Linked DNA regions of Struthio camelus. The protein of the gene in region 3 purifies or fractionates together with the protein of the main gene of each other region. This does not show direct contact. Links are inferred from orthologs where the notes say so. Each region holds a gene or a part of one and is shown on either strand. Other genes may lie near its edges.

Evidence for each region.
Region 1: the proteins of EP300 (region 3) and DDX5 purify together in Homo sapiens (affinity purification with western blotting; 5 studies listed by BioGRID and IntAct, with this or other methods). This does not show direct contact. The link is inferred for Struthio camelus from reciprocal best matches to the Homo sapiens genes EP300 and DDX5.
Region 2: the proteins of EP300 (region 3) and EWSR1 purify together in Homo sapiens (affinity purification with mass spectrometry; 3 studies listed by BioGRID and IntAct, with this or other methods). This does not show direct contact. The link is inferred for Struthio camelus from reciprocal best matches to the Homo sapiens genes EP300 and EWSR1.
Region 4: the proteins of EP300 (region 3) and STRAP purify together in Homo sapiens (affinity purification with mass spectrometry; 3 studies listed by BioGRID, with this or other methods). This does not show direct contact. The link is inferred for Struthio camelus from reciprocal best matches to the Homo sapiens genes EP300 and STRAP.

The regions. Positions count from the first base shown.
Region 1 is NC_090960.1:4,672,155-4,679,017, reverse strand, and holds the start of DDX5 (probable ATP-dependent RNA helicase DDX5), read right to left. Parts: upstream 3,021-6,863; 5' UTR 2,787-3,020; coding exon 2,755-2,786; intron 1,246-2,754; coding exon 1,080-1,245; intron 940-1,079; coding exon 843-939; intron 757-842; coding exon 623-756; intron 492-622; coding exon 426-491; intron 1-425. Other genes in the region: CEP95 (centrosomal protein of 95 kDa), read left to right, coding at 6,260-6,281. UniProt on the Homo sapiens protein: Involved in the alternative regulation of pre-mRNA splicing; its RNA helicase activity is necessary for increasing tau exon 10 inclusion and occurs in a RBM4-dependent manner. Binds to the tau pre-mRNA in the stem-loop region downstream of exon 10.
Region 2 is NC_090958.1:5,247,543-5,254,818, forward strand, and holds the start of EWSR1 (RNA-binding protein EWS), read right to left. Parts: upstream 3,010-7,276; 5' UTR 2,911-3,009; coding exon 2,898-2,910; intron 1-2,897. Other genes in the region: EMID1 (EMI domain-containing protein 1), read right to left, coding at 4,509-4,633. UniProt on the Homo sapiens protein: Binds to ssRNA containing the consensus sequence 5'-AGGUAA-3'. Might normally function as a transcriptional repressor. EWS-fusion-proteins (EFPS) may play a role in the tumorigenic process.
Region 3 is NC_090942.1:57,018,539-57,025,828, forward strand, and holds the start of EP300 (histone acetyltransferase p300), read right to left. Parts: upstream 3,003-7,290; 5' UTR 2,204-3,002; coding exon 2,110-2,203; intron 1-2,109. UniProt on the Homo sapiens protein: Functions as a histone acetyltransferase and regulates transcription via chromatin remodeling. Acetylates all four core histones in nucleosomes. Histone acetylation gives an epigenetic tag for transcriptional activation.
Region 4 is NC_090942.1:71,984,248-71,991,814, reverse strand, and holds the start of STRAP (serine-threonine kinase receptor-associated protein), read right to left. Parts: upstream 3,017-7,567; 5' UTR 3,002-3,016; coding exon 2,203-3,001; intron 986-2,202; coding exon 850-985; intron 21-849; coding exon 1-20. UniProt on the Homo sapiens protein: The SMN complex catalyzes the assembly of small nuclear ribonucleoproteins (snRNPs), the building blocks of the spliceosome, and thereby plays an important role in the splicing of cellular pre-mRNAs.

The DNA.
Region 1 (6,863 bases), on a different chromosome or scaffold from region 3:
GACTGGAAAGATCATTGTATACAACTATGCTATCACCAGAACACAAGTAAAATGGATTTATCTGAACAGACAGAACAAGAAAGCTAAGGAAACCAGTATCTCAACTACCACCAGACACTCGCCCATGCTGTGTGGTTAGGTCACGTATTTGGAAGCCACCAGTTTCCAGGGGATGTTTATTTCCAAAACAGGACATCTAGTCCTGTTCTGGAGGATTTTGAAGTAAAATAAATAAATCTGAGCTTATGGAACAATCTTGGGAGACTACTACTACTGAAACATAAAATCACTGATCTGTGACGAGAAATACAATGTTGCTATGGTATATGAAAGCACTTTGTACTCACATAAGCGTGGACAAAACGGACTGTAACAAATCCGCATTCTTTTAAAATTAAGAACCCCTTTCATTTAGGAATACTCACTATAGGTCCATCTCCTCGCTCTAGGAATGGTTGATGATTTATATGCACAATGGCAGGCAACAAGTACTGTTTGAAAAGGGAGGGGAAAAAAAAGTCTCATTACAGTCTCTTCCCAGAGGTGTTCAGACTGCATTAAGCCAGGCAAAACTGTCACTGCTGAATTTCAGCAGTATTCCAAGTTACAAACAAGAACTTACAGACAGTGTTTTCCCTGATCCAGTCTGCGCTACTCCAACCATATCCAGTCCACTCAAGGCAACGGGCCATCCTTGTGCTTGAATAGCAGTTGGTTCAGTGAAGTTCTGCCTCTGAATCACTTCCATAACATTTGCTTGAAGAGAAAATTAGAACTTATTAACTTAAGTTTTTCCAGGCTTGATTAAGATGAAGTCTATGAGTACCCTATTGTGCACTTACCAGGAAAGTTAGCTTCATAGAAGTTTATAATTGGTTTTGGACAGTTATGGCCCCTAACTGTGACTTCTTTGCTTGATCTGTACTGTTCAACCTCTTGCTGCAAGACAAAAACCCCATAGTTAGAAATAAGCTTTGATACCAAAGTTATCCTATAAGTTACCTCATCCTTGTCCCATGACCCTCAGCATGTTTGTACTTTATTTATTTACTTTCACACAAGTTGGATAGGGTACATACCACAGTACGTCTAACTACATCAGGATGTTCTTGATAGAAGTTCTTTTCAAATTTGGGCAGCTCATCTAAATTCCATTTCTTTTTCGTAAGCTTCTCCCCAGGGTTTCCAAATTTCTTTCCAGACAGAGGTCCACCTCTACTTCCTCCAAAACGGGGGGCTCCAAACCTAGAGAAGAATACACCATAATACAAAACCTGAGAGTAACTCTCTTTCATATACAACTTGATCATTATCCTTACAACCAAACATGCAACTTGACAATTCAGTTTCATAAGTCTCACATACATCATAATAAAACTCCAAAAACATACCAAGCTGCAGATGCCATGATCTGCCTAGTTATAACTCATGCTCAGAAACTAAGGTAACACATTACCTTGCAGTTTCCACAAAATGAAACCGAGACTTATTAACAACCTACAAAACAGCAAGAACATTAAAACACCTGCACAACCCCCACGATCAAAATAGTTTCCCACACGAGCGACACTCCCCTTGTGTGTCAGCCTGCAGAAAGCAAGCAGAGGCAGTTACAAAAGCTCGGCACAACTTCCCCGTAAACGGTTGTTTTGGTATCCCAAAGGGCTGGCTCCTCTCAGTAACGACGTTCTCACGAGGCCACGCGTTTTACGCGTTATCCCCTTTCGTTCAGAAGGGGTTCGTCTCAGAAGCCTACCCTGACGGATCTAAGCGAAGCGAACCCGCGCCCCGAGGACCACCACCCCGGACCCGAGCGGGGCGCTCCCTCCCCCGCCCCGACTGCACCCCACTCCTGGCTGGGCAGGCGCTGGGAGCGATCCTCCCCAACACAACACAGCGCTCCCAGAGGGGACCCGGCTGAGTGGCCGCTGCTTCCTGCCAGCGCTGTTTCCTTTGTCTCTCATTTCTGTCTACGCCACATTTTCCAGCCGCTGCCATTTTAGAGTCTGAGCTGGGCGGGGGGAGGAGGAGGAGGAACAAAGGCAGCAGCAGCAGCCGGCATTTTGATTTCCCCTCAGTCACCGCATGGCGGGGCCGGCCATTAACATCCGCTTACACAACACAAAGCGGGAGCCGGCCGGCTTCTGCCAGCAACAGCCAGAGCCGGCGAAGGGGGGAAGGGAGAGAAGGGACCCGCCCTACCGAGAGCTCCCCCAAGGCTTCTCCGGCATCGACGAAGCGCCCGGCCAACCCACTGACCCACAAACCTCCAGCCAGCCCGCCACTGCTCAGTCCGCCCCCGCGGCCGAGGCGGGGGGTTGGCAGGGGGGTGTGGAAGGACAGGAATCGAGCTCTGCAAGGGCCATCCGTACTCAGGGGGGTGTCCCGAGAGAGGGCTCGATCCCCCTTCCCCCGCCCGCACCCCTAACAAGCGGCCAGGGGCTGCGCGGAGGCGGACGGACTCAGCCCCCGCCCTGGATTACGCGGCCGCCCACACGCGGTGGCTGCCCTTGGCGGCGCCGAAAGGGCCTAAAGGCGTTTCCCCCCTCCCCCCCCCCCCGGCTCTCGTCACGAAACTCCGGAGTTCTGAAGACGGCAAGAGCTGAGAAGAAGGGCTCCAGGGCCCAACCCCCACGCCTCGCCGCCATTTTAGACGGCTTAAAAAAAAAAAAAAGCAGCAGTCAAAACCCCCATAGGCGGTTTAAGAGTCCGGACGCTGGCGGCGGCTGGCGCCAGCCGGGCCCCCGGACTCACCCTCTATCCCTGTCGCTGGAATACCCGGGCATGGCGATGGAAGCGATGGTGGCGAGACGGTTCCGGTCACTAAAGAGGGTGACGAAAGGTACGGCGAGATCCGACGCCGATGGTGGGGGCCACTGAATGTAGAGCGCCCCGCTGCCCGGATGCCGGTTATATAAGGGGTGCCGCGGAGGCTGCTGGGAGCCGGTTGGTGACGCAGGCGCAGAACCCGCCCCTTGTTTTATGTAAGCGGCCCGAGCTGGCCGGAGCCTCCGGCCCCTCCCCTTGTGGGCGTGGCCGCGGCTCGGCCGACTGACCGGCTTCTGCGCGCGCGGGCGGAAGTCCCCCTCCCCTTGTGGGCGTGGCCTCTGTGTCGTCACTGCCCGGCAGCGGCGGCGGCAGCGGGAGTGTCTGCCCCTCCCAGTGCCCACGCAGAGAAGGGCGCGAGCCGCCGCGCTTGCGCAGTAGCGGGGGGCCGCGGCCTAGCGGCGCCCGCCCGACCCGCGGCAGGGGCCCGGAGCTGCTTTGGCCCGACAGGAAGCGCGATCCCCTCCTCCCCCCCCCCCAGATGTTTTACCTATGGACAGCTAGTACATCTGACACCGTAAGACATCAGTAAGTGGCTAAGTAGTGACCTTCCTCTGCACATGCACAGGACTGGACCGAGCCATAAAGGAGTTTTTATCTCTGGGGACTAAAAGCAGTATTTCAGCCACAGGCATTCCCAGGATTTCAAATAGACTGAAGGGGTTGGATGCACGGGTCCTCTCGAAGTTAACCCGCTGGCCACAAATAATTAGAACAGCAGATAGATAAAATACTGCTTAAGCAGTAATTTTAGATTGTTATCCATTGCCTGGGCACTTTCATTAATATTAAAATCCATGTGATTGGAAACAGGTGCTATTTTTATCTTTTCAAATTCCACACCAGGTCTAGTAAAGCAAATTAAAGGTCACGAGGAGTGCACCAGTGCACCAAAGGACACTGCTGTTTGGAAAGCACAGGTGTAATAAATGTCAAACACCTGAAGTTACTAGGGTTGCTTATCTACCCTGCTTTGTTAGCTTGAGGAATAACTTGAATGTCTTGCTACCTGTGGCTTTAAGCACATACAAGATGAGGCTTGACACATAAACATAAGCACTGTATTGCCAGACCATCTCTTTCAGGCAGCGGCCAATAGCAAACAAAAACAACGTAAGGAAAAAACGCTGTAACAACACCCTGCCTTTATAGGCTACTCCCACCTTCTAGCAATTTGTGGTTTAAGACTTTTCGGAAACAAAAATAACGTAACTGTTTTTGACAGTTATGTTTCACATTTTTCCTCTCTTTATGCTCTTATCTTCTAAAGCATTCTGTAACAATCAGTTTCACAATTTAATTATACACTACCTGAGAAGTACTTCCCTTTGTTTTCAACATATTGACTGGTAAGAACAAGGGAGGACTAGCAAAGTGAATTGTCAGAAATGGTAAATAATAATTTCCTATCCACCTTATCTATACCCTTTCGGGACATTAATCTCAGTTACTCCTTTTCCAAGTCAGAGGTGCAATCTAATTATTTCTCCTTTAAAAGCAATTCTGCACTTTGGATAATCCTTGCCACTTTATTGACAAGAAACCCACATAGAATTCAAAATCTGGGCCCCCATATAGATTTACATAATGAAAGCATGATGGTGTTTTTGTTTTGTCTTGTATTATTTCCTAATGATTGTTTTTCATTTTTTGATTGCTGCTAAGATTGGAGCAAGGTTTTAAAGGAACAGTAGTAGATGATTCCATGACTGACCCTCAAAAGCAACACCTAAGCTAGGCCTATCTTTTTTTTTTTAGGTATAGCTACAGCTGTTTCTTCCTCATACATGTTACTTTTTACGTAAATCCACACAATTTCACCTAAAGAAACATAGCCCTCAGAACCTCTCATAGTCTCCATGCCAGCTGCACACATTTAGACTGCAAGTAACTTCAGTTTCCTCTTTGGGGGGAAAAAAACTTCCTCATTTTTCTTTCATCCTTTTACGTTAAACATGTTGTTTATTTTCCTCTGTTCCCGTCTTTCTTTGAGCCAATACATGCAACGTAAAAGAGGCTTGCAGAGCTGTGTATGTATGAAACTGAAATCCATGTTTCAGTATTAATAGTATTGACATCCGTTTTTATATACCCAAAAGCTCTTTTGTTTTTATCAGATTAACTGGTATAAACGTGCGTTAAGATTATGTATCTACCAATTATCTGTCCTTGGACCGTTAAAGCCATCATTACCCCTGGTGTTTACTTGCCTACCCTTGTTCTTACAGTCATCACTGAGATCTCAGCTGCTTCTACGTACTCCAGGAGTTTAAGGCACCATTATTTCTAGTTTTGCAAGACCTGGGGCAACATGGAAACTCCAGAATCCCTAAGCAGCGCTGTACACATGTGCTTTGTAAGGAAGAAAATACATTTTCACCATCAAAGGCCTCTAGAATCTTGTAAACTAGCAGCTAATTGTACAGTACATTTCACAGGACGAAACCTTCTAAGTCATAATTCTAATAAAGGTTCTGGCACTCCTAACATCCAGGAAAGTCATCAAATTACCTGCCATCTCCCAAGCAGACCTACACCACCTGCTAATTTAAACCAAACTCCCCAACTGTACAAACTGTACACTAACCCTTCTAACGTAACCACCACCTCCACCTTTTAGCAAACAACCCCGAGGCCGGCCCTGCAAGGTCAAGAGCTAGAATTTTCCCCTGCTCCACCCCGCCTGCCATAGCCGGCCCTCCTTCCTCATTCTGTGAAAATCGGGGGGGGGGGGGAAGAAATCACCTCACTTCAGGGTGATTAAGGGCGGAACCGCTTCAACAAACCCTCCCCAACCGCCCGCGGAACCGAGCCCGAGTTAAAAGCAGTTTTTTTTTATTACACCGCCATTTTACGCCGCCAGCCTGCCTCGCCGACCGAGGCGCTCCCCCGACGCGGCCCGGCGTCCTTCACCCGCCGCCCGCGACGACGCTGAGGGAAGGAAGCGGCGGCGGCTCCTCGCGCCGGAGCAGCGCCCCCTCCCCCTTCGCGCCGCGGGCTCCACGCATGCGCGAACGCGCGGGCCGCAGACACCCCCACCCCCGCCAGCGCCTCGCCACCAACAGCCCCGCGCGCCAGGAAGGAAGCGGCACGGGGCGGGGGGAAGGGGGGGAAGCAAGGTCCGGGCCACGTGATCCTCGATGCGGCGTCGCTTTGAGGCCCAGGCGCCTCACCCCCTCCCCGTCTCCACGGCAACCAGCGGCTAGGCAACCCGCAACGGCAACGCCAACGGAGGCGGGCCCGGGGCGGACCATTCCCAGCTGCAGCCAATCGCGACGGCCTTCAGCGGGAGACCCCGCCTCTTCCTGCACAGACGGCCCAATCAACGCGCGGGACACAGAGAGGGGCTATTTAAATTACCCGGGGCGGGGCAGTGGCCCTGGTCCGTTAGGGTGCGTGAGGTGCTGTCACCGGGCGCTCGCGCGACCGCGCCATGGGCAGCTCTGAGGAGACAGGTAGGGGGGCCAGAGAAGGGAGCTCCTGAGGAGATCGCCCTTCTCTGACCCGTGGGGCGCCTCTCCCCGGTCCCTGCCCTCGCCCTGCCCTGCCCTGCCCTGCCCTACCCTACCCGCCGCTGGGCTAGGTCGTGGCGCGTCCCCACCAGCCCGAGGGGCCTCCCTAGTGGTGGGGCGGGCGAGGGTGCCGGAGAGGTGGCCGACCTTCGTGCTCTACAGGTGGGAGCTGGGTGAGAAGTAGCCTTTTCACCTCCCTTTGGTCTCTTTTCTGCTGCTCGCTAATCGCCTCCACTTTATTCATGCTTATTTTCCCTTACGATTTCCCTTTTTGTTTTGTGACTTTTTATGCTTTTTATTGTCCCTTCCCTCCTTTTTCTTTAGTGATTCTTTTAAGCTGGAAATAAAGGGTAACCTTAAGTTTTCTAGAACCTGTCAGCCTGAACTGTAGAAGATATTACTTTAATGTTTTGTGCACCTGAAAACAAAGTGTGAGGGTAAGGTGTCTCTTGGAACAGAGTGAAGGGGTGATAGATGGAAATGTAATTCCTCTGTGTACACAAGGAAAACAGCGGGACACGGTAG
Region 2 (7,276 bases), on a different chromosome or scaffold from region 3:
CTTTCAAGGACAAAAACAAATTGCTGGAAAGTTCTAACACTCTCCCCATATCAAAGTTCAAGACAGGCAGCTGGCAATAATTCCTTCCCCAAAGCCCTGATCTATGGCAACAGCCTGATTCAGAGGAAAACTGAAATTCAGAAAACGCAAGCAAAAAAATCTACACTTAACCAGTTAGCTGCAAGGGATGGAAAATGCATCCAGCATGGCAATTACAAGGCTATATTTGAAATGATTACAGCTCCTAAATGTACGCTTTCCCTCATATTGCAAAGCATTTCAGTTTCCTCCCAAACGTCTAGAGCAAACGGTAGCGACGAGTTCATCGCTTAGCCCAAACCTTCCCAGACAAATTCAAACTCTTCCAGAATCAGAAGAGGCCCATCAGCAGAGTAGGGAGATCAGGAAAGAGTTCCGACTTCCAATTTGCCACTTGGGCCACTGCACTTGACTGAACTGGAAGCAGACAGAAACAAAATGCTATTATACCTTTTCTTATACAGAGCCAAACAGAAAGAGGTTTAGGTGTTTCTGCTGCCATAGTACTTAGGGTAAGCTAATCTTTGGTAAAAACCTGAAGCGCATGAATTTAAGGAATCTGGCTGAAGACTCTACAGACATCAGTTATCCTCAGATTATAGAGAGTGCCTTAATCCCATTATGACTCCAGCTGTTTGCAACTGAAGTTGACAAAGCACGAGAAAACATTTTGAATAGTTTTCTGCTGTCATACACCTTCATGCACCAAAGGTTCCCGTTTCTTGAGGCCACAGACTCGTCCATAATACAGCTTTCCACTCTTCTTCCTAACCCTTCTGCGTGAACATACGGCTTTTCCTCCCTTTCACTTCTCTCTATTGAGGCTGGAGCTCAGGCTCTAGGGCATGTGTTGATGGAAACGTATTAAGAAAGGAGATGCCATAACTTTGGTAGTAGTTTTTGACAGATGTAAACCACTGCACACTGGTCAAAACACAATAAAAAGATGCTCAGCTGCTACTCAAAGGCTTCCAAAATCCTGAAATGCGCCACATACGTTGTTAGACTGTTTCAGCACTACTCCCGCTTTCCTTATATGTTGTCAGGTTTAAGATTTTAAAAGTCCAGCTTGCTAAACTCAGGGCCTTGCCTCTTTTTTCAGTCTACGCGTGACTACCAGCTCCGCAAAATGTGGAGCATTAAATACCATCACCAATTCCCCCTCATCCAGTTGAGCTTCTTCCATCTCTCACTGCCTCCTCCTATCTCTCAGCGCTCCTCCATTCTTTCCTGCATCTTGCTGTACAACGTCCTCACTCCCCCCTCTTTTCCCAACCTCACCTCCTCTTCGCTCCCCCATCCGTCAAAACCTCCCTAGCTCTCATTGAATTCCCATTTCCTGCTCCACTCTGGGCTGCTGTCATCCTTCAGGCTGTTCACATCTATAGCTCCAGCTTCATCCCCTCCAGCAGGGCTGACTGCCGGGCACCCATCTCCCCAGCCTTCACCCCTGGCCCACTGACCACCGGCAACCTACCACCACCCCGGGCTTGGATCTTCAGCTATGCACACAGTCGCCAGTCAAAGCCTCCTTCGCACACTCATATCCCCTTTTACAGCCTTCACGCAGGCATACCGAGATACTCCATTCCTCCCTTAGCTAGATTTAAATCCAGGTGAGTAAGTTTAATTTGCAATTTGTCTTCTTCTCTTCCAATTTGCTAGAACACAGATTGGTGCAAAGCGTTCAAAAAAAATATTATGGTTAATTTTTTAAAAATATCTCCGAGCCCTTATTTCCAATGGGAAATTAATCCTCATACTTATATTTCACGAGGCTCAGGAGCACAATAGCGCAGCCTTAAAATAGTAGCTCCCACAAATGAACATTTCCATTTATTAAGCGGAAAGACAGCTGTATTTTTAAACCCCATTTTGACAATGCTACGGCACATGTTTCTTTAGTAACTTTTTTCCCCTGCTCTCCAAAGCGATATTAGTCATTCTCCTTTACACTCCTTGGTATATGACATTTTCTCCTGTGGGACGATCCAATCTTCTGCATCGGGCTTTAACTCTACATTAAACATGATGCCGCCACCGTTGATAAGTCTGAATGCTGACCTATTTACACCCATTTGCGGCCCTCACGTGAAAGTTATGTTTTCCTCCACAACGCTTCACTGATTTCCTTCAAAGGAATCACAGTGGCACCAACAAACAGCCTTGAATAGCCCTTAGGGAAAAAAAAACCCAAAAAAACGAAGGCATGGGGGAAACCTTCAATAAAGAGAGCGATTTTTTGGAAGGGCGTGAGCCAAAGCATCTTACTGCGCTTTTTCTAGGGTGGAAGCTCTAGCAATACGCTATCATAAGCTTTTTTTTTTTTTTTAAAATAAACTGACCAAAAAAAAAAAATCAAAGTATTCCCATCAGAGCGAAGCCCCGGAGAGTTACGGCTTTCTGATGAGTCACCACTGACAGCAGCGAGGACCCCTGCGCGCCACGGGCTGCTGGGGGGAAGCTCGGCCCGGCCGCGGCCAACCGAACCGAACCGAAGGGGCCGGCGGCGCGGGGCGAGCCCGGCCAGGCCTCGGCCGCGGGGTTGAACTCAAGGCCGGGCTCGCCCCGCCCGCCGCGACCCCCGGGCCCGAGCGCGCGGCTCAGGCCGCGGCGGCCCCCAGCTCCGCCGGGCGGGACCGCGCCGGCGCCGCCATTGTGTCCCCGGCGCGCCGAGCGCTCAAACGCGCCTCAACGGCACCGAAGCGGCGGCGGGAGCCGGCGGGCCCGGACACGCGCCGCTGCCCGGCGGGGCCGCCCCGGCGCGGAGGCGGCGGCGGCCCGGGAACGGCGCGGCTCGGGCTCGCGGCGGGGCGGGGGAAGGGGGAGGCCCCGCGGCCCGGCCCGGTTCCGCTCACCCGTCGACGCCATTTTCTCGCCTTCCTCCTCGGCGCTCCCAACGTCCGGCTGCTGCAGCCGCCGCCGCCCCGCGCCGCGCAGGCGCCGCCCCTCCCACCGCGGGCCGCACCAAGGCGCCCGCGCGGGGAGGGGGGGAGCGGCCCGGCGGCCGCCGCGGCGAGGGGCAGCTGCCCCGCCGCCGGGATCCGGGCTCTGTCTCGGTGTGGCCGAAAGCCGGTACCGGCCTCCGGGCCGGCGGGCGCCGCTGGGGACGCCGCTGTCCTCGCGCTGCCCCGCGCGCCCCCCCTCCCGGCCGGAGCAGTGGTTCGGCCCGCCGCGGCTGGGGAGCGTCGCGCAAGAGGCGCCTCGGCCGCGGGGCGCAGCGCGGGGCCGCGGCGCTGCCGGCGCCGCCGCCTGACGTCACGCGGCGGCCAGGCGTCACCACCGCCTGACGTCACGTAGCGGGCGCCAGCAAGCGAGGCCGCGGCGTGGCGTCATCGCGCGGCGTCACGCGCGGTGTTGGGGGGTGGCGGGGGGATGTCACGGCGCAGCTGCCACAGGCGGAGCAGCTGCCGCGTGGCATTGCGCGTGAGGTCACCTGTCGCACGGCGTGACGTCATCCTTTGAGGCCACAGATCAGGCACAACGTCACGCAGTGGGGAAGGGGGCCCGGCTCAGGCTAGGCCTGGGGCCACGCGTGGGCAGGATGCCCCCCCGTGGGGCCCCCCGACCCCCCTTCCCCCCCGCCTGCCCCTGGGGCACGCAACCCCCACCCATTGCCTCCCCCACGAGTGTGGCGGGAGCCGGGGGCACCCCGGGGTGCCGGTACCGGGGCGGGCGCCCCGATGGGGGCCGCGGCCACCCCCTGCCCCCGGCGGCTGTGGCCATGTGGCTGCACCGGCAGGTACTGGGGGGGCAGCGAGGCCGGTACCAGGGGGGTCTGTGAGGCTGGTACCGGGGGGGGGCGGCGAGGCCGGTACTGGGGGGGGGGCAGTGAGGCCGGTACTGGGGGGGGTCTGTGAGGCCGGTACCGGGGGGGCTGCGAGGCCGGTACGGGGGGGGGTGGCGAGGCCGGTACCAGGGGGGTCTGTGAGGCTGGTACCAGGGGGGGCGGCGAGGCCGGTACTGGGGGGGGCAGTGAGGCCGGTACCGGGGGGGACTGTGAGGCTGGTACCCGGGGGGCGGCGAGGCCGGTACCAGGGGGGTCTGTGAGGCCGGTACCGGGGGGGTTTTGAGGCCGGTACCGGGGGGGTTTTGAGGCTGGTACCGGGGGCTCTCAGCCGGGGGGTGCCCGGTGTTCAGCTCTTCCCGGGGGGGGGCCGGCCCCCGGGGGGGGACACGCGCACGGACTGCGCCGGACACGGGCTTCAGGGAGGCGTTTAATGACCTGGCGACGCGGGTCGTTCCCAAAGCGGCTGGGCTGAAGCGCGCGGGGGGGCAGCGGGGGGCACGGGGACACGGGCCGGGGAGGGGGACCGCGGGGCGGCAGCGTCCCGCCGGCTAGCACCAAAACGCCCTGCCGGGCGGCGGGGCGCAGGACGAGACGGGGCGGGCTGCAGGGCGCCCGCCGGAGCCCGACGCCTCCCTGCCGGTACGGGCCCGCCGTCGCTGGGGGCCGTCGCTGGGGGCCGTCACTGGGCGCCAGCGGGGGGCTCGCGGGCCACGATGCGGTAGGTGGGCGGGCGGCTGCGCTTGTGGCGGGGGGAGCCGGGCGCCGCAGGACCCCCGGGGCCGCTGCCCGAGCCAGGCTCCGGTTCTGCGGAGGAGAGAGGAGAGAGGCGTGAGGCGGCGGTCCGGCGCAGGTGCAAGCCCTGACCCCCCGCGGGACCCCCTGGCACCCCGGGAACGGGCTCTGTCGCACCCCCCCGCCCCCCCCCGCCACCGGCCGCGCAGCCACGACGGCCGGGCCAGGGGGTCGGCTGGACCCCCTCCCCATCGTGAGGTTTTTGGGCCGTGCTGGGGTGAGATGGGATGCCAGGGCAGCTGTGCCCATCGCCCCGGGTCTCTGGTCCCCCTGTGCCCATCGCCCCGGGTCTCTGGTCCCCCCCCGGCCCATCGCCTGCCACCGCGGGCCAGGCCCGTGGTCCAGGGGGCTGGATGGGGGCCGCCGAGCTCGCCGGGGTTTCTCCTCATCGCCTCGCGGGTGCTGAGCACCAGGAGCCCGGCCGCCCTCCGTGTCAGCCTGGCACCGCGCTGGGGACGAGCGAGTCCCCACGCACGGAGCAGGGCAGGGGGCACACGACGCCGGGGCTGGCTTTGTCCCCCACGGCGCTGCGGGCGCGTGCCAGGCGCCCCGCGGTGCCCCCGCCGGCGATGTCCCCGGCCCCCCGGCGGGTGAGCTGCCCCCAGGCCAGGCACAGCCCCGCTCACAGGGACACGGGACGGCCACCAGCCCGCCTGGCACCAGAGCCCCGCGCCCGCGGTGGGCTTCGCTCCGGGGTGACCGGCCCAGCAGGTGGGTGGCGGGGGGGACAAGGAGAGTCGTTTTGGGACCCGGCTCATGGTAGCTGCCATGCCCAGCTGGCACCCCTGCCTGGCACCCCTGCCTGGCACCCGGCTGGCACCCCCCGCCTGGCATGCGGAAAGAAAAGAGCCCCCTCCCCGCAAAAAAGCAGAGCTGGAAAGTGGAGGCGGAGAGAAGAGAAAGGCAGAGGGGGGCACCCGCCAGCACACAGCTGGCACCCTGGCACCGAGCGGGGCCGGGCACCGGGGGCTCCCCTGGTCCCAGGGGAGTCTCTGGGGTCTCCTTCAATCCAAGAGGGTCCCCCTGGTCCCCTTTGGTTTGAGAGGGGCTCCAGAGGTTCCCTTGGTCCTCGGGGAGCTCCAGGGTCTCCCTCGATCCAAGAGGTCTCCATGGTCTCACTTGGTTCAAGAGATTCTCCAAGGGCTCCCTTGGTCCAAGGGGCTCCAAGGTCTCCCTTGATCTGAGAGGGTCCCCCTGGTCTTCCTTCGTTCAAGAGGAGCTCCAGGGCCTCCTTTAGTCCTTGGGGAGCTCCAAGGTCTCCCTTGATCCAGGAGGTCTCCAGGGTCACCCTTGTTTTGAGAGGAGCTCCAGGGCCTCCCTTAGTCCTTGGGAAGCTCCAGGGTCTCACTTGGCCTCTTGGATTGAAGGTCTCCATGGTCTCACTTGCTCCGAGAGGGGCTCTGGAGGCTCCCTTACTCCCGGTGAGCTCCAGGGACGTGGTCCGAGGGGCTCCGGCCTCCCTTGCGCCAGGCAGCCCAAGCTCCCAGGGGGACGCGGCGAGCCCAGCTCATGCGAGGAGGGGAGACGGAAAGCGGCGCTGTTACCTGGCCAGATGATGGCTTCCAGCAAGGTGACCCTTCTAGCCAGGATCTCCAGCCGGGCCTGCTGCCGCAGGAGGGTTTGGAAGCTACTGGCCTGGTGGAGAGTGAGAGAGCAGAGCAGAGAGCGCGTTCGCCCCGCAGGCGCAGCAGCGGGCGCGGGCGGCACAGCACGGGCGCAGCCGGGCCGGCAGCGGGCACAGCAGCAGCAGCCCTCAGGGGCTGAGAGGGGTGCTGGTGCGTGGGTCGGGGGGTGCCAGGTCTCCCAGGTGGGTGCTGGGAGGGTGCCGGGGGCTCGCCGGGGTGCTCCCAGGCAGGGGGGTGCCAGGAATCCCCTGGTGCCAGCAGGTGCTGCGGGTCCCCTGGTGCCAGGAGTGCTAGGTGCTCCCGTGGTCCCAGGGGGGTGCAGGGGGCTCCCCTGATCCCAGGGGTGCCAGGGGCTCCCTTGCTCTGACCCTGGGGCAGCTGAAGCTGCCCCGATGTCCCCGGCGGTGGCTCCTTGGTGGTGCCCCAACCCAGGGCAGCGGGCACAGGACGTGGCCGTCCCCGCCTGGGCTCGTGGGGACACGGGAGCTCAATGGGTGCCCAGCACCTTGCAGCCCCAGTGGGCGCTGGGGCTCCCCCCGCTCTCCTGCCCCATCATACGCTGACCCCTGTGCAGTGCCAGACACGCGGGGGGGACGTGTCCCCAACCTGCCCTGGTGCTACCAGCTTGTCCCCAACACGGAGACTGTCACGGGCATCTCTGCACCCGGCGGTGCAGGGGAGGGACCCCGGGGTGCCCGGAGGCCCTCTGCCACCAGAAGGTATCCTCGCCCTACGAGCGGGTCCCAGTGCCGTGATGTGATGTCCTAACACGTGTGATGATGTCACACGTGTGATGATGTCATATGCTGCGGAGGGGGGAGACGCTCCGTTGTGCCGGTTCCCCCCCACGGAGAAGGGGAGGGGAGCACAGGGCTGAGGGACGCCTCCCCGCAGCCCCGTGACATCAGCGCGCCGATGCGATGTCATCAGGGCCTGGCGCGCTCCACCTGCGACCTGCTGCCGGGGACGGGGCAGGGGGACGGCGGCGACTGCCCGCCCGGGAGCAGCCGGCAGCGGGGACCCCGGTGCG
Region 3 (7,290 bases):
GAGAACCCTTCAACAGTTCTTTGTAACATACATGAAATATTTGCACCATTAAAAACCTCTGGATAGCCAGCAGGTGATGACAATCTCAACAACTTCAAAAAAATGTATCCCGTTTTGCACACTACAATGTCATATCTGAATTCCTTTGAATTTGTCCAATAATCCCTAGTGTGTTTCACCATAAATATAAAAAGATCGCCAATTAAACTGTCCAGTAGACTAACAATTAAAAGAAACTAAATATTCTGAGAAAATCTGCACCTCTTACACTGAAATAAATCCACTTTACACAAATCTTATCTGATCGCAAATGCCTTAACTTTGATACTTGTATTCATCTAACAACCCTCCAACTTTCCTACTTTCAAGCATCAGGGCTTCTCTCACAAAACCCATCTTTTATTTAGCCACCTACACAGAGCAAGGCCAACCCTGTCAAGAGAAAGAATGAAAACGATTACTACTGAATTAAGTACTGCTTTCCAAGTCTAGTGTAAAAAAACCTCCACAACTAGCTGTAGCTGAAGAGCTCCTCCAACCCTCTCCTACTCTCTTACCAGAGACCTGTTGATATCAAGACTAGTCATCTGCTCCAGTTACAACACAAAACTGCCTATAACTAAAATGCTCTGAAAGTTACACATAAACTTTTTTTTTTTTAAAACTAATGTGTCATTCACCAAGAATAAAGAGAAGGCAAAAATCAAAATTTTTAAGATGATTCAAACTGGAATCACACCCCGTGCTGAGCCAAAAACTGGGTATTTAAACCTCCTGTTTACTGTCAAACGATCAGCTTTTTTTTTTTTTAACTCTTCCTTTTCTTCACAGATCTAACTGCAGTGACTAAGACTGGTGGCACCAGGAACGCCATCTCTCATCAGATTCTGCAGAAGGCAGCCTCCTCCAACTCCCATAGGCTAAGATGATCTAAAGTGAGTTTAAGGAAACTCCTGTGGGATAGGTAACCAAGTACTTTCAGAGCAAAATGACACTAAATGCTCATCTGCTTCACAAGAAGCATTAAAAAGCAGAGCAGCCCTTTGTTACCTCCCTCTCCCTTCCCAGTACAACCAGTTCATGTTTGCTAGGGATGGGGACACCGGAGACTTCCAGCCTCTAGCTTGACTCCACAGCAACTCTGGAGTTTCCACAGAGCAGATTATTCCTCCCTACTAAAACATCACCAAAGATCTTTGCAGGATTGCAGAGAAGCCCCTTTATCTTCCCAACCCATAAGTCTACAGGGGAATTTCAGACATTTTGCTCTCGCAGCAAAGAAATGGGAGATGCAGAATGAATTGCACTCCATATTGGTTCTTAATGCAAATAAGGTGAAATAATATTTTGTTTCTACAATGCTAAGGCTCTTGATAAGCCTTAAGCCCCAAACTTGCAATCTGGATTTTGTTTTTAGTTGTTGTTTTTTTCCTTAAATCGATAGTCTATTTGAAATAAAAAACAGGTTTTTTTTTTTTTTTTTTAGAAATCCTTGTGCAAGGAAGAGTAAGAAGGATTGTAAAAAGTAAATCAAATAACCGGAGTGCCTGTTAAGAGGGTAAAAGAAAAAGAATAGAGAAATAAATCTCATGTTTCTAAACGAGTTATAAAAACACCGTACATACAGGCAAAATAAAATAAGAAACAGGCATGTATTTGTGTGTGTGTGTATATGCAAACATACACACAGAAATCGACAATAAAGTGTACAAAAGCATCATTGTAAGCAATATTTCATATTTCTGCAACTGGAATTAAATGCATATGCTTAACGAGGAGCTCTGAAATAATTACTATTATGAAAGACAAGAAAATGACAAACTGTTAATTCTTATCTGTGACTGATCAAAAGCACAATAAACTGAACAGCTTTGCTTTCAATCACTTCCAAAAAATAAAAGGGCTGAAATAGCCGAACACCCTCCTCCTACGGCATTAACACAAATAAGAGCAAAAAGAAAGAAAAAGGGAGAAATCACAGACAGAGAGGAGAAAGGAAGGAACAAGTTAAAGAAGCAAAAGGGAGGAGGCGATTTAGGCAAGAGAGGAGAGAAAAGGGCAGTAATTTGTGGCACCAAGAGGCTGAGAGCCCGGGCCCCCGAGACTGACCTGTGCCGTCGCTGGCGGACACGGAGAGCGCCGGTGAGGAGAGTTTAGGCCGCTTGGCTGAAGGCGGGCCCGGCTCCACCACATTCTCGGCCATTTTTAATTCTTTTTTAGACAATCACTCAGAGTAAAGAGACCGGGGGAGGGGGGGGGCAAAACCTTCACCTTCTTCCCAGGCCCCGAGTCAGCTGAAGAACAACAATAACGACGAGAGCGAGCGAGAAGGATCTGCCGGAGGAGGGGGCCAAGTTCCCCTTTTTCTGCCCCTCGGGCTCGGGCTCCGGGAGGGCGGCAGCGGAGAAGCGGGGAGAAGGTGGGGAGCAGCGAGGGGAAGAGGCCTCTTCCCCCAGGCGAAAGGGCAGAGCGAAGATGGGAAGAGCTGGTAAAGCCCCCGCCAAAAAAAAAAAAAAAAGAAAAAAAGGAGGGGGGGGGGAGAAAGAGGCTGGTGGGTTTTTAGTAAAATTAATCCCGGCTGTTGTGCTGCTGTTGCTTCCGCGCCGCCGCCACCATCATCATCTTCATCCTTCGGGGGGTCTCCTCCTCTTGCTGCCTCCTCACCGCCGTCATCAGCCTCTTCCTCCTCGGCGCCGTCCTCCTCCTCCTCATCGCCACAAGGAGGCGGGCGAAGGAGGGGAGAGGAGGAGGAAAAAAGAAAAAAAGATCACCGTCCTCTAGCAGCGGCTCCTTCCCCCTCCAACACCACCCTGCAAAAAAATACCCACCGCCAGCGACAGGGCTGGGGGGGAGGAGGAGGCGAAAGAGGCCGAGCGTGCGCGGGGTCCCCAGCTCCCCTCGCTTCTTCCTCGCCAGTCACTAATGGCTGCAGAAAGGGGAGCTGTAAGGATGAGGAGGGTGAGGATAAGTCCCAGGAGTCTCCGCTTCACATCTTGTTGTGCAGGGAAGAAGGCGGGGTTGTTGTCCTGATGGAGGCAGCACCGATCGCGGGATGGGAAGGTGGGGGGCGGGTTTCAACACCCTCTCTGCCCCCCCTCCCTTCTTCTCTTCTTTCCCCTTCCTCTTTCTCTCGCTCTCAGTAGCAGGGTGCCCCCCCCTCCAGCGCAGGCAGAGGGGGCCGATCCCACAGCAGCAGCAACAGCGGCGGCAGGAGCAGGAGGAGGAGGAGGAGGAGGCAGCAGGAGCAGCAGCCGGCCCCTCCCCCCCCTCTGCCTACCTTCCCCCCTCCCGGGTGCCTGAGGATGGTGGCGAGCGCTGGCTCCGGGCAGGGAGGGGGCTGCCGCGGAGGCAGGGGGCGGCGGGCGCAAAAGCGAGGGCGAAAAAGCCTCGTCCGCTGCCGGGGCGCGGCGGGGACTCCCTCCCGGCCGCTGCGAGGGTGGGGAAGGAAGCGAAGAGCTTGGTAGGTGAGGGGGGGGGAGGAGGGCGGGGAAGAGAGGGGGAAGAAGCCGGTCAGCGAGAGAGAGAGATTAAAATTAAAATAATAAAAGAAAACCGGGGCTGGGGGAGGGCGGGGGGCTCGCCCCGGGAGGGGGAGGGGGTCCTCGGCGCTCCCCGGCGGCGGGGGGGGGGGGCTGGGGCGGGACGGCGCTGGGAGCGCGGGGGCCGAGCGCAGGCTCCCTACTGCCCCTGCCTGGCGCTCGGCGGCGGCCGCTCCTGTGGCGTGTGCGGCGGGGCGGGCAGAAGCGGGGGGCGCAAGGGAGAAGGAAAGGCAGAGAGGAAAGGGGAAAGAAATCTTAAAAAATAAAAAAAAAAAAAGGAGGGGGGAGGAAAGAAAAAGAGATAAAGAGAGAGGAGGGGCAGGCTAGCGGAGGGGGGGGGGAGGCCGGGCGGGCGTCTCAGCTTCTCTCTTCTCTCCCCGTCCCCTGGCCGGGCCCCTGGGTCTCTCTGCGCTGCCCTCCCCCTGGCTCGCCCCGTCCGGCTCGGTCTCTCGCTCCCTCCCTCAGTCGCTCACACACAAACAAAATGGCGGCTGTTGTTTCTTCACTCTCCCGAGTCCTCAGAGGGGAAGCGAGCAGCGGTGGCGGCGGCCGGAAATGAGCCAAAGGGGGGGGGGAGGGAGAGAGAGAAAAGGGGGCGGGGCCAGGCTTGGGGGCGGGGCCCGGCGGCGCTGGCGCACACAATGGAACGCGGGGGGCTTGCGTGCTGCGGGAGGGAGGGGGAACCCCGGAGCGGCGGCGGCCCGTCACGAGACCGCGGCCAGCCTATCAGCGCCCGCTATTCGCCGGGCGCTTCCGCAAACTCCCTTCACTCCGCCCCTTAAAGGCAACGCGTTAAGGGAAGGGGGGGAGGAAGGAAGGAGGAAGCTTCTTCTATCTTCCTCCTTCCCCCGCCCCTGTTTTGTGTCGGCCAAAAAGTGCGCGGCGGCGGCGGCGGCGGCTCGGGGCAGGCCGGCCGGCTGTGGCAGGGCGGCCCTGCCAGGCCTCTTCTCGCCGAGTCTGCCCCGCAAAAAAGGGGCCTGGCGAGCAGTGAATCCCCAAGATACCTGTTCTCCCTTTTTCAATAAACTTCCCCCCTCCCCCCCCCAGTGACCGGAGCTACGTCAACATCACATAAAACCGGAGTTTCTGGCCAAAAGCGATGCCTAGATGAAAGGAAACGGGGGGTGGGGGGGGGTGAAGGAGCGGCCTGAAAGGGCGCCGGCTCCCCTGGGGCTCGGTGCGAGGCCGCTCCTGGGCTGTGGGCAGTGGTAGGTAACGTTGACGCGCTCCTCGATAACCGTCGCCGAGCCATTTTAGAGCTTAGTGGGGATTACGGGCTGGCCAGGAGTTTCTCAAGTCTTTAAGCCCTCATCAGCCATCATTAGCGAGGAAATACCCCTTCCTAGCCTTTTTTTTTGTTTGGGGGGGGTGTTTGGGCTTCCCCCCCCCCCCGCCCCGGTTTTACACCCTTCTGCGACAAGAACGGGAAGGGGAGGCAGGCCTGCCTATGTTTTTAATGGGAAAAACCGCGATTTCATGTGAGCGGGGTGGGCCGTTTGGGAGGAACCAGCGCCCTGCGCATCAGCTCCTGCGAACCGATTCCCCTTCGCCTCCCGAACGCTGACTTCTTTTTTGCGATTTTTGTGTTTTTTTTTTTTCCTAAAATACACGAACTGGGGAGGAGGTTAGAGGTTGTTTTATCCCCTCGTCTTGTTCCTCGCTGTGCAAGATTCGGGAGGCCTTTAAGGCAGGGAGTGCTCAGTCCTTCCCCCTCTCCCCCCCTTTTTTTTTTTTTCTTACCACCCACACTCAGAATTGAGTTTTCTGCCATTCTGCCTGTAAGACCTGTACCAGGTGTTTGGGCAAGAGCCTATTACAAGCAACAGCATAAACACCACAGGAGAGGAGAGGGCGAGAAGGAAGGAGTAGAGATTCGCAGCCCTCTAACAGTTACCCACCAGCTTCCCGCGCACATACTCACTCCCACGCTTGAGTTTCCCTTGTTTCGGCTTTATTTCGGGCAAGGTGGTTGTGGTTGTTGTCTTCCCCCCCGGCACAAAAGGGGAAAAAACGCGAAGCGGGTTACGCTCAAGCTGCTCCGAAAGGTTCTGCGTGTCTTCTCCTCGGCGAAAAGTCTCGGAGACATAGGCAGGGGCGCAAATCTGTCCGTTTGAGAAGAGAGCTGGAGGGTGCCTTGCAAGAACGACTAAGTAACAGCCTCACCTTAGAAACTACGCACGGTTCTCACAGGTTTTCCACCTGTTATGGCTACTAACGCTCTCAGAAATATTTCAGAGTTACAGAAGTCTTGTATTACCTCAATTTATTTCGCCAGATTGACTCTTTCCCTTGCTTGCGAAGCGCTTTTTTTTTTAAACACAGCTGAGATTAATTTTAACTGTTTTTAAAGTCTCCTTAGAATTAAAAGTTGACTCAAATCAGTCTATATAAGGTTTTCAGACTCTCTAGAGGCCCTTAATGCGTACTTCAATAAGGAATTAGTGCCAGCTTTATAAAGACACCAAGGTGCACATAAACACCTAAATACTTTTAAAAGTCTGGTCCTTACTAAACAACAAGCTTGGAGCAAAGCAGATGTTTCAAATAAAAGTTTTGTGACACTAGTTCCTATCTAGAGACTTGATCCTACCAATAGTTGCATGTGTGCTTAGTTTTATTTAGCACATAGTTCCACTGAAATCTCACTGTACTACTCACCATAGTAAAACCAAGCACATGTGTGCTTGCAGGATCACAACCTGAGAAATAAAAGTTAAAGGACTGAGTAGTGAGTTGTTACTCCAGAGGGTATCATGTGGATCAGTTAGTTGTTTAGCTAAGTAACAGTGAAAGCTGAAAAAGAAAAACAAAATAAAACCTTTTTTGTGCACCTTCCCTTCTGCTCTGGCTATCTATCTATTTATCCTTGGAGTGAGTTCAGTGAAGGTAGCATCTAGCCTATCTGAACCGTGGAAAACACACACCCTTTGCTGAATGCTACCCAAACAACATCTATATCCTTAATATGAGCTATGAATGTAAGTAATTAACTGATATATTAATACAATACATCTGCCTTACTAGTTCCACGACCAGAAGAATACCTTAATTCTTTATATATCAGGAAGTCATATTCAGTTGGCTTTCCACATTAGAGACTTAAACGTAAGCTGAAATATGAGGAATATAAATTAAAAAGTAGCAGGATGAGATGCTACTTGCGGTTTCTGAGAAAGAAAGCCACTCTAAAGAGAAAAGGAGGAAAAAAAAAAGGAAAACCTAGGAAGAGAGGGTCAAGGAAAAAACAGGAAAAAGATTTCAGCACCTATTGATTTTTGCTAAATACACTGAGGTCTTCTTTAATGAACCTCAATACATATGCACACAACCAGCTGCTTCTAAGTGCTCCCTGTCAAAATAATAACATGCATTGTTACTGGAAAATCATAATAAAACATAAAGCACACTAAGAAGCAAATACATATGCCTATATGAACAAGCAGGAAAGGACTGAACAGTTAAAAAGAAGGCAAACCCAACATCTCCTCCTTGCCTCAGTTTCTCCATCCTTGCCCTGAGAAAGGTAGCATTTATCCCTTGAAAATTGCACTGAGAAGAATTAATTAGCTCATTATTGCCAGTAATTATAGTGGCTGTTATGTACTTTGAGATAACTGGATGAAAGTACCGTAAGTCTGATTAAAATGAGAATCGGCTCAGGAAAGCAATAAGAGGAGGAATGCAAGGCCTTGAACTTTTATCATGGGATCTCATTTGGCCTTAGCTGGTAGTTTCTGAAAGTTGTAAGCGT
Region 4 (7,567 bases), about 15 Mb from region 3:
ACACAGCATCCCATACTTTGCTAAATGACAAGAGAAAACATTTAAATTTTGTAGCACTGAGACAAATCAACCTGGAAGTCAGATCAGCTTGTAAACAACTTTGTCCTAAGTACTACATTCTGATAAGTAATAACCCAGTTAGCCAGTAAGAATACTTTATATGCTTTTATTAATGTTTTTTTTGCACTATCCTGCTATTTTAATTTCCCCTCTTCAAGATAATGCAGAATTATTATTATTTCAGTTTTACAGATAAACAAGTGCAGCTGTCCTCTGTGACTTCATATAAAGTGCCCTCTACTAACAGGATTCGAATTACCAAACGTTAATACACACTACAGACAGTAAAGAAAATAAATAAATAAATTTCTGCAATAGTTTTCTAGAATTCTTGATATATTCTTAAACCTTGAAATGGTGGCTATTATGAATTCTACGATGCTATGAAAACGTTGGTATCACTGAGCTTATTTGCCCCAGCTATAAGCAACAGAAAACAAGTAATAAAAAGTGATAACTAGGAGGAGCAAAACAAAAATCACTCTTTCAACTCTGATTTTAGCACTCTACCATGCTAAAGATTAGAGCTGGAAATAAAACGTTATTCCGGCAGACTACTATGGTAATTAAGTGTTGTGATCAAGAAGCAATCAAAGTTATCCAAAAAAAATTAACTGTAGCTATACTTTCAACAGTCTAGAGTTCTAGATCTTAATTTAGCTATTCATAAACGAGCTTAATAATTTACTGAACAGATATATCAATAACTTATAACAACTATGTCACTAAAAATATCATTGACTGAAAAATCAAAACAGAGTGAGACTTCAAAAGCAGATAATCACTTACGCTGTAAAATCAGCTGCTGCTGTAGCTGCTTTAGTGGCATCCTTGTTCAAAGTAGCACCCCAAACAGCACCTTTATGACCTAGAAACGTTCCAATCCAGTCTCCTGTGTCGCCCTGACGTAGCATAGGCTTACCATCTTCACAGAAACAAAACCAATATTCAGATAATGTTATCAAACAAAACGATACTACCTTTAAGAAGACTCCTTTACACCAACATGGAATAAAAAAGAAATTGCCACCAGACATCTCCCTTCAGGGAAATAGCATGTATTTTTATGATGCTATTTTTTGAAAAAGAGTTTAGCTAAAGAGCTTAGATATGCAGCCGCACCTACCATGAACATCTAGAATTCTATACAGACCTTAAAATACTATTGCAAAGTAAATATAAAACTTCTTTGGGTTTTCAAGGAAGAAAAGGGATAAAGAAGGAGAAAGGAGCATTTAGCTTTGGTTTTACTCCAGTTTTCCTCTACAGGCAGAAGAGCTCTTTTGTTTTTAGAAAAAAATTTTCAGACTAGCATTGCCCAAAAAGGAGTCTTATGTTTATATGTTCAAAATATAGAGAGAAAATGAAATGGAATTAGAAAATCTTTCTTATGGTTATTTTTTTCTGGGAGGCTATAAAAAAAAGTTGCACCCAGGAGAAGAAATAAATCTGACTAGGAAGCACTCCAACGCTGGGAGGGAGATCATGAATACATACATAGATTAATATTCACATGTATGAAGTCAAAATACTATTCTCATAATGAGCAGAGGAAAGTTCTCATGCTAAAGGAAAGTGGCATCACCATTCTACATCCACCCTGACAGCCACCGTGATTTAAAAAAAGAAACTTCAATTTAAGATGTACAATACACGTGTGCAGAAGGTAAAAACAGGCTAGTTCGGAAACAAAATTTTGTAAGAAGTTTCACTTTTTTTTTTCTTTTTTTTTTTTTTTTAATTTTTACAGTTTCGACCCGAACCGAATAAACTCTCAAAGCGCACAGGTTAAACTGGCAACGCCACTGCCAGCTGTCAAGGCTCTTTCTCACTCGATAACGCTGAAACCGGGTATTATCGTGAGACCGCCAGCGTCTCGCTAGGTGACCCGGGCACCCCAGCCCGACCATCCGCCGCTAATACCGGCCGCTCGGCTCACCTAAGGCGGCCTCCTGCCCGCGCTCCCGCTTCCCTAAGTAGCGCCCCCCCACCACCACCAACACACACACCCACCCCTTCCAGGGGCGAGGGACCACCCCCACCTCACCTGCCCGCCGCCGAGGATGAACAAAGGGGCCGCCGCCGCCCCTGGCGGCGCTCCCCGCCGCCCCCGCTCCCACCCTCGCCCCCGCCGGGCCTCACCCTTGCAGGCGCTGATGAGGAAGTAGCCGTAAGGGGTGATGCCGCTGAAGGCCAGGTCCACCACGGGCCGCGTGTGCCCCGAGCACGTCAGCGGGGTCTGCCTCATCGCCATGGCTGCGGCGGCGGCGGCGGTTGGGGGCGCGGAGCGGCGGTTGGGGGCGCGGGCGGCTGGAAAGGTGGGTGGGGGCGGGGCGCGCGCGCGCAGGGACACGAGCCCCCTCCGGCCGGGCAGGAAACGGCGACCGGGGCGGCGGGGGAAATGACGCAGCGGAAACGCTTCAGGCCGGAAACTACGTCGGCGGGCGGGTGCGGAGCCGGAAGCGGCAGTGCGGGGGGCGGGCGGCGGTCCGTTGCGCAGGCGCGGCGAGCCCGCCCTGAGGGGAGGGGGGCTGCCTGCGGCCTTTATCCCCTTACAGTTACTCCTCTGTGCCGCCGCTGGTGCTCCTCCGCTCCGCTCGGGCTCCTGCAGCAGCAGCAAATCAACGCTGCCAAAAAGAAACGCAGTGTTTTGCGGTTGGTCTCGATCCCAGCACGGCCGGCTGCAGGGCCGCGTAGGCCTTGCGTGCAGAGGAAGAGGTGGGGAGACGCGGAAAATGGGGAGCCCAGAATACCCCGCAGCGCCCGTCTGGCCTTGCATAAAATGCAAGGCGGCCACGCTGATGGGATTGTTTCCCCAAGAAGCGTCTGAAGATGTTACCTGAAGCTGAAGGAGCCTGCCAGCCTTATCTGAAAACACTCTGTCAACAGACTGAAAACTTAGACTAGTACGGCACTGTACCCCTTCTTGACAGGAGCGCATAGGCTGTCATTCATCTCCCTTTTTAAGTGTTAAAACTGGGAGTAACGTTTAAATTGTCAGCAGGTAGGTGAAGCTGACATAACTCCAGTCTTCTGCTGTTTCTCTTTAAAGGATAGGGAGCGTGTTTCATTTTCTGACCTCCTGATGTTTCAGCTCAGGATAGGCACTGCATTTTGCTTTCTGACCTCCTGATGTTTCAACTTTCCTGAGTTCTCACAAGGAATTGCTAATAAGCCACATTCTGCCTAGAGCAGCATATTTAAATGTACTTTTTAACTTACTTTATTTACTTACTTTTTTTTTACTTCATTTACTGTAAGCAAAAAGCTTACAGGGCTCTTGAATATTAAAATTTTGAGTAGCTAAATTTCATTTAATTAGGTTTTTCAAAGGCTAATATAAATGTAGAAGTATGTCTCCTAGTTAGCTATTCTGCTTGGATTTATATTTTAAAAAACACTGTTCTGGTAACTTACTATATAAATTTTTCAGTGAAGGGGTTAGCCAACTGTCAGTAAAGATACAAAAGAACATTAAGAAAACACTTACCTACTTAAAACTCAGTATTGAGGATCCTGACATGTGCTTAGGGCAGTTTCTTTTTAATAATTTTGTTGCTTGGATTAATTTAGTCTTCTGTAAAATTGGAGTGTGTTTTTTGTCCTACACAAAGCAACAGTATGATATCCAGGTAGAGAGATACTTGTAAGAGACAGATAAGGCAAAAATGTTTGCAGTTCGATGAAGGCAGATGCAAATCAAAAAAGGAGATAAACAATTGAGATGTGAAACCAATAATATCCAATCTGAACTGAAAATCTTACTAGACCCAACAAACCTATGACTACATTCTTAAAATCCTAAAAACAGAAAATTAGTTAATACTATGTGTGAAGTTTTCCATACGCTGCAGGAACGTGAACATTCTAGTAGGGAACATGATGGGTGTCACTAAAGCCAAATCCCTAAACAGGGATTTTTGACACCTAATGCAGGACTTAGGCAGAACTTAGGCACCATGCTGTTAACTGCTGTTTCATTCTGAGGAAATTTTGTTTTATCGGATAGAAACCTGTATATTGATTGTATGCTATCAACTACTGCTCAGTTTTATAAAAGTTATAAATCAGTTGGTCCATGCACTTAGTATAAACACGTAGATGATCACATAAGCACTGATCCCACATGGTGCCTGTATTTACAGTACCTAATTACAGCATTAGGTACTTGATTGATTCCCAGGTAAACCACAGCCTTGTGCTTCCCTATAGGTCCCAACCACACTCTTTTGCCTTCTTTCCAACCACTGGATGCTCTATACTGTACCAGATAGTGGCTTCCAGAAAGTAACTGGCTTTTGCCTTCCACACTGAAGATATTTCCATTCCTACTACAGTAAAAATACAGCTTGCATTTTATAGTTTCATTTCCTTCTAAGGATTTCAAATTTTCATGTAATCAAAAAACTAGAGAGTTGTATACAAACTTCAGAGTGCTGTGCAGCTGCTATTAGATATGATATTGACATTGTTTAGCTGTTTAGACCAGCAAGTGGACAAAACTACTAAAACACAGGGAGCTTAAATAAGCAAAAAATAAATTATCAATATGGTTAAAGTGGGAGAGACATCAACATAAGGAAAACTATCAAAAACGTGAAACATGGCCACATAGCTGGACAAGATCTATACCTTAAAGATCTCAGGTATGGGAATTTCCTTGTCTCTTAACCTTTAGAGTCCAGATTTAATAGTGATATAGAAGGATATTACTTTTAAAGGTACAGTTGTGGGAAGCACCTTTATTATCTCTGGGAAACATGATTAAGGACATATGGAAATAATAGTGAAAAGAAAGGTATTTACATGTTTTCTTAAATCAAGACTTTAATACCTAGACCTAATAATACCCGTAGCATAATAATTAAAAATCTCCAGAGTTTACCCTAGGCCTAACTCAGGTTATACCTTGCATGGCATACTTTAGTAAGCGAGTTTATTCAGCAGCGGTCTCGCACTTTTTCCTTCCTGTCTTCCAGGGTACATTCTGTATCTCTATCCCAATTCCAATACAGAATTTTTTATACCACATTTCTCAAGCTGAGCATGAGGAGGGGAAAATACTACCACGGATCGTGTTTGGATTTGAGGAAGGAGAAACATACTGCCATGGTGCCACTGCAACTGGAATGAGAGAATGTGTCCAGGAGGAAGCGTTTCAAGCAGGAACAGGAGCAAAGTGAGAAGGGAAAAGGCAGAATATGCTCTGAGCAGGAACAAGAGGAAATGCTGAACCAATCCAGCACTGTTGGAGGCTCTTGCTGAGGAAAAATATCCTAATTTAGTCATGCCTATCAGCTGTGCTTTCTCTGCTTGTGCTTGGAGCGGTCATTTTCCTCTGACGGAGCCTGACAGCCTTTGGCCTTAGCTATATTCGCTTTGGCTTCACCCCCACCATTGCCTTCCTCTTAGCTACCTAGTAAAATCCCTATTTAGATGTGCTTATTCCCCTCAGTTTGAAAATCTTTAATTTAGAGATGCACTAATTCTGTACACCCAAGCGAGACTACTTCTACTAAGGAGATGGTTAGAGAAGCTGGGAACTGTGAAACAGTCATTCAGTTTTTCAAAAAAGAATAGAGAAAAAGAAGCAAAGGTAGGAGAAGGAGTTACTTACTAATGAAAGAAAGCCTAGCAAGCAGGAAATAAAAATATTGAGGGTTTTTGATTTTTTTCAGCCAAGGGGATTATATATCGAATAGTGTTACAAAGCAAAAAAAAAAAAAATTGCAAAAAAATTTTTATTCAAAGTTTCATGTTTATTTATCTATTTATTATCCAAATAACTGTCTTGGGGAGTTATCTAAAGTAAATATTCATCAACCCCAACTTCATTCAGGAAGTAATCAGGATCTTGTAATTATACAGATTAATCCCCATTACTGAACAGAATAACAAGTATGTCAGTCATAGATTATAAAGCACCTGGGCAAAACTCGCTTTCACTTATCATTTATAATTCAGAGTGTCTGCTTGATTAAACAACATCTTTCCACAGCCAGTGATTGAATTTTCTCAGAAATTGTTACTGAACATGAATAAAGCTATCCTAGTGAAAGGTCACGATTCTAGTGCTTTGATTAAAATGAGTCACGCAGAGATTGAATTAAGTAGAGAGTGTTTAGTATACATATTTACATTTCAGAGATGTCTTCCGCCCATGCTAGACACTGTTGTTGAAAATGTCTTCTCTTGCCACTAAGTGGAGCTCCTTACATATCTATTAGTGTATTAGCAATTCTGGATGGTAGTGAGATGACATGTTGATGCTTATTTCAGCTTCTGTGTAGCCACTTTGTTGACACAGTACTAAGGAAGTTACTAGATGCTTAGTTCTCTGAAATGAATTGTGCTAAACAGGGAAATGGAAATTTACCTGTGCCACTAGAGAAGGCAACAGGGCAGCCATTTGTTAGAGGACTTTGAATCTAAGCTATTCTAATATATTGCAGATTTAAAACATTCATTTTGATCTGTAGGCATCTTTATCTCTGTTAACAAAGTTTTTCTTTGGAGAAATATACCTTAGTAATTTGTACAGCTAATTTATGGCGAAAAAAAAGGATTTACTCTTTGTGGAAGGATACTGCGTTACGGATGCTGTGTGCAGATATGAGAGCAATTGCAGAGCCTGTCGCTGTGTTTTCACTGGGGGGATAATTAAAATTGAGTGCCAGCCTTGAGCAGTCAATTATCACTGAGTAACCAGATGAAAGATAAAGAGCAGATGTAATCATATTTCACAAGTAATGGAACAGTGTGTGTTTGAAGTCAAGTAGTCCTGCCTATTATCAGTCTTTCACAGCAGGTGGCCATACGGTTTCTAGTTTCGTATAAGTTCTTTTAACATAGGTCTAGGGAAGGTGAGGGCTGGGCCACAGAAGCTCTTCTGTTGGGTGTGCATGATAGTATACTTGTGTGTGTGAGGAGAGGGAAATGGGATTAGACCTGGAAATGGGCTGTAGAGGTACTGGGAAGAGCGTGAAGAGGAATTTGAGGCAGCAGCAAGAGAAGATAAATGACAGAGGTTTAGCAGGAAAGCTGGATAGGAGGAGGAATGGGAGGTTTAGCTCTGAGTCCAATTATATGCCTCATAGTGGGATTTGTACCTTTTTTCCTTTCCCTGACAGGTGAGGTCAGATGTAAGATCACTTTAATCATCACCTGCATGTCAGCATCCCAAGAAGATTTACTCTTCCGGGAAGACTTTTGTCCCTAATCCGTGCACGTCTACCTGCAAGTTAAACCCTAGGAGCCTTTCCCTCTGACTGGAGGGCAGGGATCAGGCGTGTTCAGAGCATGCACCAACTGTAAAGGGACAAAACCAATGAGGAAAATGAAAAATTGTTTATCTTTGCTGTAACATCTTCTCTCGTACTCAGTCTTCTATTTCCATTTCTCCTTTTGAAAGGAAAAAGTTGTCAGTGCTGGGCAGATAGGGAGGAGACCAATAAAGCAGCAAGTGGTTTCACCGAAAAGCTGAACCACTGCAAAGCCAAGGGAGCAA